Canis lupus familiaris: one gene and its partners. The protein of the gene in region 2 purifies or fractionates together with the protein of the main gene of each other region. This does not show direct contact. Links are inferred from orthologs where the notes say so. Each region holds a gene or a part of one and is shown on either strand. Other genes may lie near its edges.

What was found.
Region 1: the proteins of CAPN1 (region 2) and CAPNS1 purify together in Homo sapiens (co-immunoprecipitation; 4 studies listed by BioGRID and IntAct, counting the BioPlex papers as one, with this or other methods). This does not show direct contact. The link is inferred for Canis lupus familiaris from reciprocal best matches to the Homo sapiens genes CAPN1 and CAPNS1.
Region 3: the proteins of CAPN1 (region 2) and CAST purify together in Homo sapiens (co-immunoprecipitation; 4 studies listed by BioGRID and IntAct, counting the BioPlex papers as one, with this or other methods). This does not show direct contact. The link is inferred for Canis lupus familiaris from reciprocal best matches to the Homo sapiens genes CAPN1 and CAST.

Annotation. Positions count from the first base shown.
Region 1 is NC_049222.1:117,400,162-117,403,906, forward strand, and holds the start of CAPNS1 (calpain small subunit 1), read right to left. Parts: upstream 2,767-3,745; 5' UTR 2,695-2,766; intron 1,787-2,694; 5' UTR 1,769-1,786; coding exon 1,563-1,768; intron 1,545-1,562; exon of another isoform or gene 1,524-1,544; coding exon of another isoform or gene 1,501-1,523; intron 1,484-1,500; exon of another isoform or gene 1,349-1,483; intron 1,214-1,348; exon of another isoform or gene 1,133-1,213; intron 701-1,132; coding exon 667-700; intron 394-666; coding exon 304-393; intron 149-303; coding exon 91-148; intron 1-90. UniProt on the Homo sapiens protein: Regulatory subunit of the calcium-regulated non-lysosomal thiol-protease which catalyzes limited proteolysis of substrates involved in cytoskeletal remodeling and signal transduction. Essential for embryonic development.
Region 2 is NC_049239.1:52,493,644-52,497,288, forward strand, and holds part of CAPN1 (calpain-1 catalytic subunit), read right to left. Parts: intron 2,632-3,645; coding exon 2,453-2,631; intron 1,524-2,452; coding exon 1,512-1,523; intron 699-1,511; coding exon 487-698; intron 389-486; coding exon 349-388; intron 1-348. UniProt on the Homo sapiens protein: Calcium-regulated non-lysosomal thiol-protease which catalyzes limited proteolysis of substrates involved in cytoskeletal remodeling and signal transduction. Proteolytically cleaves CTBP1 at 'Asn-375', 'Gly-387' and 'His-409'.
Region 3 is NC_049224.1:12,993,846-12,997,490, reverse strand, and holds part of CAST (calpastatin), read left to right. Parts: intron 1-378; coding exon 379-417; intron 418-1,148; coding exon 1,149-1,241; intron 1,242-1,374; coding exon 1,375-1,467; intron 1,468-2,560; coding exon 2,561-2,665; intron 2,666-3,645.

The DNA of each region.
Region 1 (3,745 bases), on a different chromosome or scaffold from region 2:
ACAGATTGAAAGTCAGAAGGCCAGAGGTCACAACTACCCCAGCAACCCATGACTCAAAACCTGTCCTATGTGTTGAGCCCAACAACTCACGTCTGGTTACGACCTTGTTGAGAATGTTCATGAGTTCTGTGGCACTGACTTCCATGTCCTGTGGGGAAAAGTCAGGGATGGTCACAAGGGAAGAATGTCATGAAGGAGAATGGGGATTCTTTGGGGATTGCCATTTTTGGGGGTGTGTGCAAGGGCAGCCCAAAGGAAGATGTGGAAGACTTAGGACAAAGATAGGGGCCCAGGGTTACTTACATCTCCAGCCAGCTGAGCAAAGAGCCTCCGGAACTGCCGGACCTCCTCGCTCTCATTGGCTTCAATGTTGGAGTAATGGGTGCGTGGAGGCTGCAGAGGGAAAAGATCTCAGAGCAAGTGGTGGAGGGGTGCCCGGGTCAGGACAGCCCTTGGTGGGAAAGTCGGAATGGGCTGAGTGGCTGGGTGATCAAAGAAATGAGAGATGGTCAGAAAGCAGGGAGTGGCTATAGCTAAGTTTGGGGACCTTGGCAAGGGAGAGATTTAATGAGTGGAATTTCATAAGGGGGACAAAGGGACAATGATGGGTGTGGAAAAAAGCCTGGGAGTGAGAAGCAGGGTCTCCGATTATAGAGGGTGGCTTACCGGAGGCTCTGGGTTGTACTGCGCAGCTGCCTCACTGAGGGGAGAGAGTTAGGGAGTTAGCGCCAGTGTGCGGAGCCTCCAAAGACGGTGCCCAACCCCTCAAACTCCAGCCCACCACCCTCCCCACCGGCTCCTTCTGCTCGCCTTAACGGTCCCTCTTTGCTGCCCTGGTTGCACCTGGCAGGAAACTCAGAGGCCCGCCCTACGGTAGGCCAGGGCCAGGCCAGGGCACACCTGCCCAGTGACAGATTCCTCAACAGATCACTTCATAGAAGCTCTGACCCAGCTTCCTGGGGCTCCATCCTCCTCAGGCCCCTTCTGTCTAGGAACCTGCTCCGTCCTGTGGCTTCCTGAACACCCGTGTTTCCCAACATCCCACCAGCTCCAGGAGTCCCCACCCCTTCGAGGGGGGCCACGGTTAATGAGGCCCCTGGTGACAACCCGCTCCACCTCGACCAGGTCGTACTTCTAGCCAGATCCACCTCCTTCAGGATCATCTCCCGCATCCCATTCGGCCTCGGCCTCTGCTGGGTCCAGCGCCTCACTGACCCGAGACCACGGCCACGCCGCGCCCGCAAGGCAGGCCTGGCCCCGGGAAGAGACGGCCGGGCTCAGCGGCTCCGCCCCCCTAACGTTCGTCTCCCGGCCGCCGGGAGGCAGGCCGCGCCCCCCCAAGCCCCACCTCCCCGAGCAGCGCCCGGCAGATCGCCCCTCAGCCGTCAGACTCCGCCCACGTCAAGCGCCGCCTCCTGAACTGCCAGCGGCCCCGCTACGGCCCGCGCCCTCCAGGCGGGTGGCCCAGCCTCGAAGACTGCAGGTCAGGCCCCAGGTTACCTCCATCTACTCAGGCGGGACATGCTCCTCCGCCGGGCCCCGCCCCTCAGGCCCCGCCTTACCTGATGGCACTAATGACCCCGCCCAGGATGCGCATGGCCGTTCCGCCCCCGCCGCCGCCGCCGCCGCCGCCGCCGCCTCCTCCGCCGCCGCCGCCGCCGCCGGCTCCGCTGATCAGGCCTCCGATCACATTCCCCAGGCCCCCGCCCAGGCCCCCGCCTCCCCCGCCGCCGCCGCCTCCTTTCAAGAACGAGTTAACCAGGAACATGGCTGCGATTTAAAATTCCTGGGGGGGGAAAGGGGGGGTCAAGGGGCCGCATCGCCACGGAGCCCGCTCCTTCCACACAAAAATACGCATTTCTGGCAGCCGGACTTGGGGAGTAACATGAGGCCTCAGGGCAGGGACTTATGCTCCGGCTCGGGCTTGACGGTGCATTTGGGATGGGGTCTGGGGTTCTGGGGGAGGGTAGTTTTCGGATGGGTGGGACAGGGACTGAGGATCGGGTTTGAAATCCCCTCTGGGTCCAAAGGATCTCCTTCTGGCTTGAGGGCCCCTGGACTGAGTCCATAGTGCATAGGCATCATCCAGGGTAAGGGTCCAGGTCTGGGGGCTTCTCCAGGTGGGGGCCCCAAGCTGGTGCAAGACATCTTTGACATGTCTAGGTACTCGAGTCAGATCGAGCCCCAGAGCTGGGTTTCGGGGTCTTGGGCGGGTCAGGGGCGCCGATCAGAGATTCTCCACTTGGAAGGCTCTGGGGCAGGGTTCAGGAAACCCAGAAATGTGAGCTTGAGGGTTTCGATACTCCCAGCAGCGGGTTACAATGTCGCCGCTGATTCTGCGGGCTCGGGTCTAAGACTGTGGGTGTGAATCCCGGGGCCTGGGATAACGGGGTGCCCATTAGAATTGGGAGAACGGATCTAAGGATCGTGGTTCTGGGGACCCTACCCTGAGCATAATTTGTAGGAGTACCTCTCAAATCCACGGGCTCGAACTTTAGATCCTGAGGCAGAGGGTGGAAGAGTCCCCGGCGGGGGAGGGGGGGATAACCTGGTGCCGGACATAACTGGGGCTTCCAGTCTGAGATCATGGGTCGGGGGGGGGGACCCCTGAGACCAGGGCTTAAGGGTGTTGGATATGGGGGCCGCAAGGACCGGGGTTACGGAGTACAGGGCTAATCCAGATCGGGCGCTCACCGCCTCGCTCACTCGTCCGTGGATCCGTTCGTCCGCGCTGCTCCCGGGCCTCCGGCCGCGTCCGGCTCCGCAGGGCGGGGCGGGTGACTCAGGCTGCGGGCGGGGCTGGGCTCTGCGGGCGGCCCGACCGGCCTCCGCGCGGTCCTAGAGCCGGCCTGAGCTGCGCCTGCGCGCGCCGGGCCCGCCTCCCGTGACCCCGAGCGGCCGCCGCGGCTCCGCCCCGCGCGTTTCCTGAGCTGTGGGTGCGGACCCCGCCCTGCGCTCCGAGATCCGAGGTCTTCCCGGTCCTTGAGGGCAGTGCGGTCGCCGTGCCCGGGATCCCCCCCTAGTGTTGCAGTGTGAATTCTGGCCCCACAGCGAGCCCCCGTGCGCCCCGCGGTGCCGTTTTCGGTCCGCTGGGAAGGGGACTTCGGGCCCGCGCCCCGGATCCTAGTCCTGTCGCCACAAAGCATTTGGAGACCCGGATGCTCGGCCCACAGCCCGGGGACCGGCGCCCGCATTTGGGGCAAGGGGCTAAGGCTGGACTAGCTTTCCCGGGGCCCTGCAGCAACCAGGTGGCGGTCAGACTGCAGGAAGGACTTCCCCGCCTACAAAAGTTGCCTGTGCCTCCTCCCCCCGCATCCTTTTACCCCGAGTCAGCGGCGCCAAGTGTCGCCTCCTCCTTCCCATCTCTAAAGAGGGGCCTGGGCACCCGAACAGTCAGTCTCTCTGGCCTGGTTTCTGAAGCTAGATGTCCCCAAGATCGGGCGGAGAAGTAGGGGGTGGGGAATGCAGAAGCTGGCAGGGCAAAGGGCGGCAGCGGAAGCCCCTCTGGGGAGCTCCGGCCTCCAAACTTCAGGGCTCCTCAGAGGGAGCTAATCTGGCTCCCAGGCCTTCTGGAAAGTCTGGCCCCCTTCGACTCTCCCCTGGAGGCTGACTTAGCTTGAGTCTGAACCCTGGCTCTGACATTTAATAACTGGGATCCTTTGGGCTCTGAGCAAGGCTGTTTTGTTTTGTTTCATTTCGTTTTAGCAAGGATTTATTCATCTGTAAAATGAGAAACAAAGGTTCC
Region 2 (3,645 bases):
AGTGAGGCCTTGGGCAAGTTCCTTAACCTCCCTGAACTTGAGTTTCTCACTGAAGGGGGAGATGGTGACAGCACCCTGACAGGGCCGTTGTAGAAGAAACAGAGTGACCAAGTAAAGAGCTCAGCACAGACCTAGAATAGAGAAGAGCTCAGGAACCCCGCACTACCACTATCTCTAAGTCCTTTGCAAACTATAAAGTCCTGGGCAGATGAGGGATTGGGATTACTTTTATGGTTCCTGCCAGGAGGGGCTCTGCCCTGCCAGCCAGAGCCCAGGAGCCAGGACACCCAGGTCCCCAGGATATAACCAGGATGAGGCAGAGGAGGAAGGCACAGGGGTGGCACGCACCTCATCAGGGAGATTGGCCTGGATCTGGTCGTCCAGCTCCCTGCAGGGGGGGGGGAGACAGAGGGGCCAGTCAGGGGGGTGTGCAGGGGGACCTGTGGCAGGTGGCAAGTGGACGCTGGGGAGGGGCCTTCTACTCACTCCGTCCCGGCGCTCTTCTCCGAGAAGAAGCGCAGCACAAAGTCACCCTCCTTGTTGGGCTCAAAGGTGGAGGGGACCACCACGTACTCCCCAGGTGGCAAGCGGAAGCGGGTGCTGACCTCCCGCAGGTTGATGAACTGCTCCGAACGTGCCCGGGACGAATTAGCCAGGAAGAAGTCGCGCTTCAGGTGCACGGCGGGCTGGCCCACCAGCTGGTGGGAGGCAAGGAGGGAGTGGGGGCTGCAGCTGGCCACTCAGCCACCCTCAGGAGCTGCCCCACAGCCCCAGATCTCAGGCTCCAGGCCCTAGCCATGGGGGCGGAGAGCTGGTCATGGTGGTCACCCGCAGTCCGTATGACCCTGACAAATCATTCTGTCTCAGTTTCCCCGTCAGGTGAAGTGAAGGTGACAACCCTACCTCCTGCATGGGGCAGAGGTGAGGAGATAATATGGAGGCAGACATAGATACCTTATAGATATAGATGTCTATAGATATAGACACCATTGCAGTAACTTTCCCATTATTATCACTCACAGCTTCCCCAAGTCAGGCAGTGCAGGGTACCTTCCAGGGGGCCCCTCCTTTAAAGCTCATGACAGCCCTGTGAGCCGTTGCTGTCATGCCCATTTTACAGACACTGACAAAGAGGCTTAGTGCTTTAGCAGCTTGCTCAAGGGTATCCACTGCTCTGCTCCTAACCAGCACCCCTGGCAGCTGCAGCCAGCACTTACTCCGTGGGAACGGCAAGACAGGAAGAGCCTCAGATGTGGTGGGAGGCGGGGTTCCAAGGGCCAGGGTTCAAATCCGGCCCCCTCACTCATTACCAGCCCTGGCTCCCAGGACAGTAATGTTTGCCCCCACCCTGCCCTGGATTGGGGGAGGAGGGCAGTTAATAAACAGTAAAACGAGATGACTTCTTAATTCTCTACGTGTGGACTTGCTGCCAACTTGCTCCCCTCTGGGCACCGTCAGGCCTTGTGTGTTCAGGGATACGTAAATCCAGGTGATCCAGGTTTCAAACCTACCTCCGGAGGGACCTGCCAGAGAGATGGAGGAATTTAGAGATGTATGCCTGGCCCAGAGACAGGGGTACAGCGTATGCTGGGCAGAAGCCCCGAGTTCTTAAGAATGATGGGATGAGGGGCAACTGGGTGGCTCAGTCAGGTAAGCGGCTGCCTTGACTCAGGTCATGATCCCAGGGTCCTGGGATCAAGCCCTGCATCAGGCTCTCTGCTTAATGGACAGCCTGCTTCTCCCTCTCCACTGTTAGTTCTCTCTTACACATTCTTTCTCTCTCAAATAAATAAATAAAATCTTAAAAAAAAAATGATAGGATGAAGAAACCAGAAGGCAGGGCCCAGGGCCATTGGTGACTGAGAACCATCTTCATGCCAGAGAGGGGCCTCAGGACCTTAGGAAAGGGGGCCCAAGCAGGGTCCTCCCTCATCCTCGGAACGCCCTGGGCCTTGGCTCTGAATCAGAGCACCCAGGACAGCCCCCAGAGTGGCCAACTGCAATATTCCACAGTCCAGGGACATCAGAGGTCCACACCGGTCTGCAGCCAGGAGCTCTGGGCCAAGACTGTGGCCATTCTCTACCCCCACCAGGAAGGGCCAGAAATGTCTGTCTTGAACACAGTGAGTGAAGCAAGGCCCTCATAGGCCAGCTTTTGCTTACATACTCCTAAGATAGGGAGCTCACTACTCCTCTATGGCAGCCCACTTGCCTACTTCTTTCTGAAGCTGAGCCAAAGTCTGTCCCCTAGAGGCTACCTCCTAGGTGTCAACAAAGCCAGATTCCCTCTATCCAAGAGCAACCTCAGCAGGTGCCTCCAGGGGTTAGGGTCTAGGGCCACCTGTCTCAGGGCTGTGGCGGCGTTGTCCTCCGGCGCCCCCTGCTGGGGCTCGCCTACAGTGCACCAGGAGGCCTGCCTTCCCTGCCAGTTCTGTGAGATCCACTGGCTCACCTCGTAGACCGCGAAGCCAATGGTCTCCATGTCGCGGCCAAAGCGGCGTTCGCGGCGGCGGTGCTTCTGCATGAGGGCTAGCACGAAGCTGCAGCCTGATTCGCGACCCCCGTAGTCGTCGTCCACATCATCTGTCTCCTCCAGCCGGATCTTGAACTGGGGATTGACCCAGAAGGTGGCTGTAGGAGGTGGGTTGTTGGCAGGAATGAGGAGGAGCAGCGCAGAGTGGAGGCTTCCCCTCCCTACTGTGTCTGCTCATCCATTCATCCAACAAATATTGCTAATTGTCCACTGTGTGCCATGTGACAGATGTTCAGTGGGAACGCACAATCTCTACCCTCCTGAGCTCACTCTCTGGGAGGGGAGGCAAAGTATTTGCAAGTCAGTGTAATTAACAGAACTATTACAAAGAATAAGCAACCTGGAACTGATCTGGGGAGGCATCTTTGAGGAGGTGACATTTGAGGGAGATCTGAAGAAGCCCTGGGAAGACACTGGGAAGCAGGAGAAGGAGAATAAAGAGCCCCACACCTGAGGGGACAGCCAGTGTCTGATGCAGCATCTGGCTCTGGCGGGCATCAGGAGTCCAGAAAGGAAGCAAAGGAGTGGGAGCAGGGTGGGTGGAAAGGAGTGTGGTTTGAGTCAGAGAGCAAAAAGACCTCCCCACCCCTCCCACCTCACTCCCTTATCCCCCACGGGCCTGCACCAGGAGGGGCATGAATGGATTTGGATTTGCAAAGGTTGCTTATTGTCCAAACTGCTGTGTGGACAATGACTGAGGAAAGAAAGAGAAAAAGCAGGGTCTAACAGGAGCCTCATAACTGCAAAGAGTGACAGAGACTTGCTTTTCTGGCAGTTTGGTGATTGAGTTGCCCATGACTCCCTAAACCTCCAGGAGCTGGATTCAATACACAAAATTGCTTTGTAGAGATACTACTAAGCCATTGCATTTCCCTCCCCCATACACAGGTGACATTAAACAAAATGATAGATAATATCAAGTGTGAGAAATGGTAGAAATAACCCAACTGTCCAACTGAGGAATGGATAAAAAGAAATGTGATGTAACCAAACAATGGAAGATTATTCAGCAACAAAAAGGAATGGAGTACTGATATGTACTATAATGTGGATAAGTATCCGAACAGGCAAATCTGTAGAGACAGGGTGTTGGTTACATGGGAATGAGGAGG
Region 3 (3,645 bases), on a different chromosome or scaffold from region 2:
CCTACAGTCTTGGAGGCTGGAAGACTGGAATGGGTGTGGGCAGCGTGGGTGTGAGGGAAGGATCTGAGGCCTCCCTCCTTGGTATGTACATGGCCATCTTCCCTCTTTGTGCATCTCCTAGTCCATGTTTCCCCACTTCTATAAGAACAGGAGGCATATGGGACCACCACCTATCCTAATGTCCTCATTTAACCTTAATTATCTCTTTAAAGGCCCATTGTCCAAATGTAGTCACATGCTGGAGTACTAGGGGTAAAGGAATTCAACAATATGACTTTTGGGAAAACACAATTCATAACACTCACTGAGCCTTACATTTTGCCTGTTGTAAAAATTACTTTTGGTCGCTCAACATGACCAAATTAATATTTGTTTCAGAAAAAAGAAGGTATCACAGTGCCTCCTCCAGACTCTTCGGTGAGTTTACATAAATGTTCTTCTGAGATCCAGGTTAACCTGTTTTTAAATCTTTAGTTGTGGGAGGCACCTGAGTGGCTCAGTTCAGTGTCCAACTCTTGGTTTCGGCCCAAGTCATGTTCTCATGTGTCATGAGACTGAGCCCCAGGTCAGGCTCTGTGCTCAGCAGGGAGTCTGCTTGAGATTCACTTTCTTTCTCCCTCTGCTTCTGCCCCCCTCACACTCACTTCCCCTTGCTCTCTCTCTCAAATAAATAAGTCTTTAAAAAAAAATCTTTAGTTGGGGGATATGTCATCAATTCTCTATATTATGTCTATGGCTAATCTCTAAATCAGATTAAGTTTCCATCTGTTCAGAGGCCGGGGATGACGTGGGGGTTGTTTCAGTGCTCATGGATTCATACGTAGTTTTTTTTGTTTTGTTTTGTTTTTTTGTTTTTTTTGTTTTTTTTTAGAGGAAGAAGAATGGAGCCAAGAAAGTTTTGCAGTAAAATAAATGTTAATAGAATGAGAATATCCTAACACGTGATCCATTTAAAAGAGGGAAACAGGCAAATAGGATTAGTGAGCACCCATTCCCTTCCAAATGTAGGCTTTCATCTGAGTTAGTTGATAAGGTATTTTATTTGGTAGTAAAGGAATGTCAGATTATTCTTCCTTTGCTGAGTTTATATTGTGATCCTTAACTTGAATGACTCTCATATATGCCCCATCGTGTCCCTGTTTCTTTAGAAACCCATGGGGCCCAATGATGCCATAGATGCTTTGTCATCTGACTTCACCTGCAGTTCACCTACCGATGCTGGAAAGAAAACTAAGGAAGAGGTATTATTTTAAACATAATTGCAGTGCTTGTTAGAAACCGTATCAGACTTTAAAACAACTTCTTTTTAGTTCTGGTTATTGTAATTGCCCTTCTTTCATCTTTAAGTCTGATCTTTTGTGTTTTGCCTTTCAGAAATCTACAGGAGAAGAGATTTTAAAAGCCCAGCCAGCCAGGGTAACCAAAAGTGCTGCTTCACCCCAAGAGAAAAAAAGAAAGGTGGAGGAGGTATAAATAATTACTTCTTTGAAAATAACCACGGTCCTTCTCCTGACAGCAGTTACTTTCCTGAGCCTGATCCAGCTGATTCAGGATAATCACAATAGAGCGTTATTCCTGATGTGGAGCATCTTTTTTCCCTCGGGTCTGTGTAGATTAGTGAATCCAATCAGGGTTCTATTGATTATCTCCAGGCAAGCCTTCTGTGTTTCTACGAATGCTGTTCATGATTTCAGAACAGTTTTCTTCATTGTGAAACAAGAGTATCTCACCACTAAAATATACAGAAAGACAAGACACCAAAAAAAATTGTACCTTTGGAACATAACATCTTCACCGTGATTTTTTTTTAATGGAGTTTGACCTGTGAATCAATCACTAGTGGAATGTTGGCCTAGCTGTTTCAGGTCACTTCTCCTGACCACAGTCACATAATTGTCACAAATCTTGAAAGGTGATCCAGCGGCTCAAGGCTGGATGAGAAAACGTGCTCCATCTGCAGACAGTCCAGATAGTGCAAGGAGCATGTCTGTTGGATCTGCTCTGCCTCTCCCTTCCTGGAGGGGACAGTTTATTTTTATCTGGCAGGCTGGGGAGCGGTGAGAGCACCACACCCCAAGAGTGGGAGTTCCTACAGCTATTGGCCATTGTGCCTTCAGAAAAGAAGGCTGCAAGGGGCCACTCTGGGTTTCCCGGCTTCCTGGGCTTAGCTAGTTTGCTAAGGGACAGGGTTGTCAGAAATTATTTTTAGAGACACATTAAAAAAAAAACAGGAAAGTGAAAGTTTACTTCTTGGAGCTTTTATTTCTATGCAAGTATTTTATAATAATATTATAGCTTGATAAATAAGGGGTGAAGTGTGCCCCTGAGGGTAGAAACTGTGTAAGACACTGTGGAAGTATCTTAGCCCCAGTATTTTTCACTGGTAAGTTCTTTTTCCTTTCTCTCTTTTCTTAGGTTTCAAGTAGCACTGCCTTCTCAAAGTCCTCTAATCCACGACTCCTCTGACAAATTTGAAATTAGGATTTCACAGAGAAGTGGATGGATTGTGCAGGCTGAGGAGATGTTGTCTTTGTTAATGTACAGAGTTTTTCCTTTTTAGCAGGACGCAATGAGTGATCAAGCACTGGAGGCTCTTTCAGCTTCTTTGGGCAGCCGGAAGCCAGAACCCGAGCTGGACCTCAGTTCCATTAAGGAAGTCGACGAGGTACTGACCTTGGAGTTTATTGATAAAGCGTGTCAGTCTGCAGGTTATGAAACTAACTGCCTTATGCATGTTTAGAATTTTCACACAACTTTGCTTTATTGGAGATTAAAAACAAATTGCTCTTCATTCTATCTTACTTTCAGAGTCCGGTTAACTTAGATCTTCAGTCCTGGGCAGTTAGAGTTTGCCTTATAAACCATCTAGAATTTTAATATTTAAAGTGAATGCTAATCTCTTTTGCCAATGCTTCAGTGACCCCTGACGAGACAAGATAACGTGGAAGCAGTGGCCTGGTGAGAAATAGGTTTATCTGCTCTTGTGGACATGGAAATGTATATTTTCAGAAGGGTTCCAGGTGCCTGTCTTTATAAGGAAAGAGGGAGAATGCTGTCGATGGGATGGGAAGAGGCTTCTTTGTGGAACTATGGAGAAAAATGTTGAAAATCTTGTCCCAAATTAGAATAACATCAAGTAACAATTAACTCTATAAGTGGAGTTCCTGTGTGCTTAGAGTGTGATGATGGGGGGTATTTATCCCACCACACTCTGACATCTTAACAAATCTTCTGAGCCAAAGCAAGTTTCTGTTTGGTGGAGAGGAGTTTTTTTCATGAGATTACAGTTTTTGAAGACTTTTCCAACTGAGTTATCTGGGATAAAAGAGGATAGAAAAGAGGGAATGGCCCTGCCAGCAAGGTAGCATAGTTGGGGAACATGGAAATCCAGCCTGGGGACCCTCAGGGGTGCCAGCCTATCAGCACAGGGAGGGGAGCTGGCAGGTGTTGCTGTCATAATGCTGCTGCCCCCTCTGTCACTTCCTGTTCTGAATCACTGAGGAAGGTGAGTCTCAGTGAGACCCCGGCAACTCTCCCTGAGTCTGGGACCGCTCTGGTCCAAGATGGGCCAGTTTCTATCTTCGGCTTTCTTTGAGGGCTCACCGGGCACAGTGTGGCATGACAAGCTTTGTGGAGGCGAACACA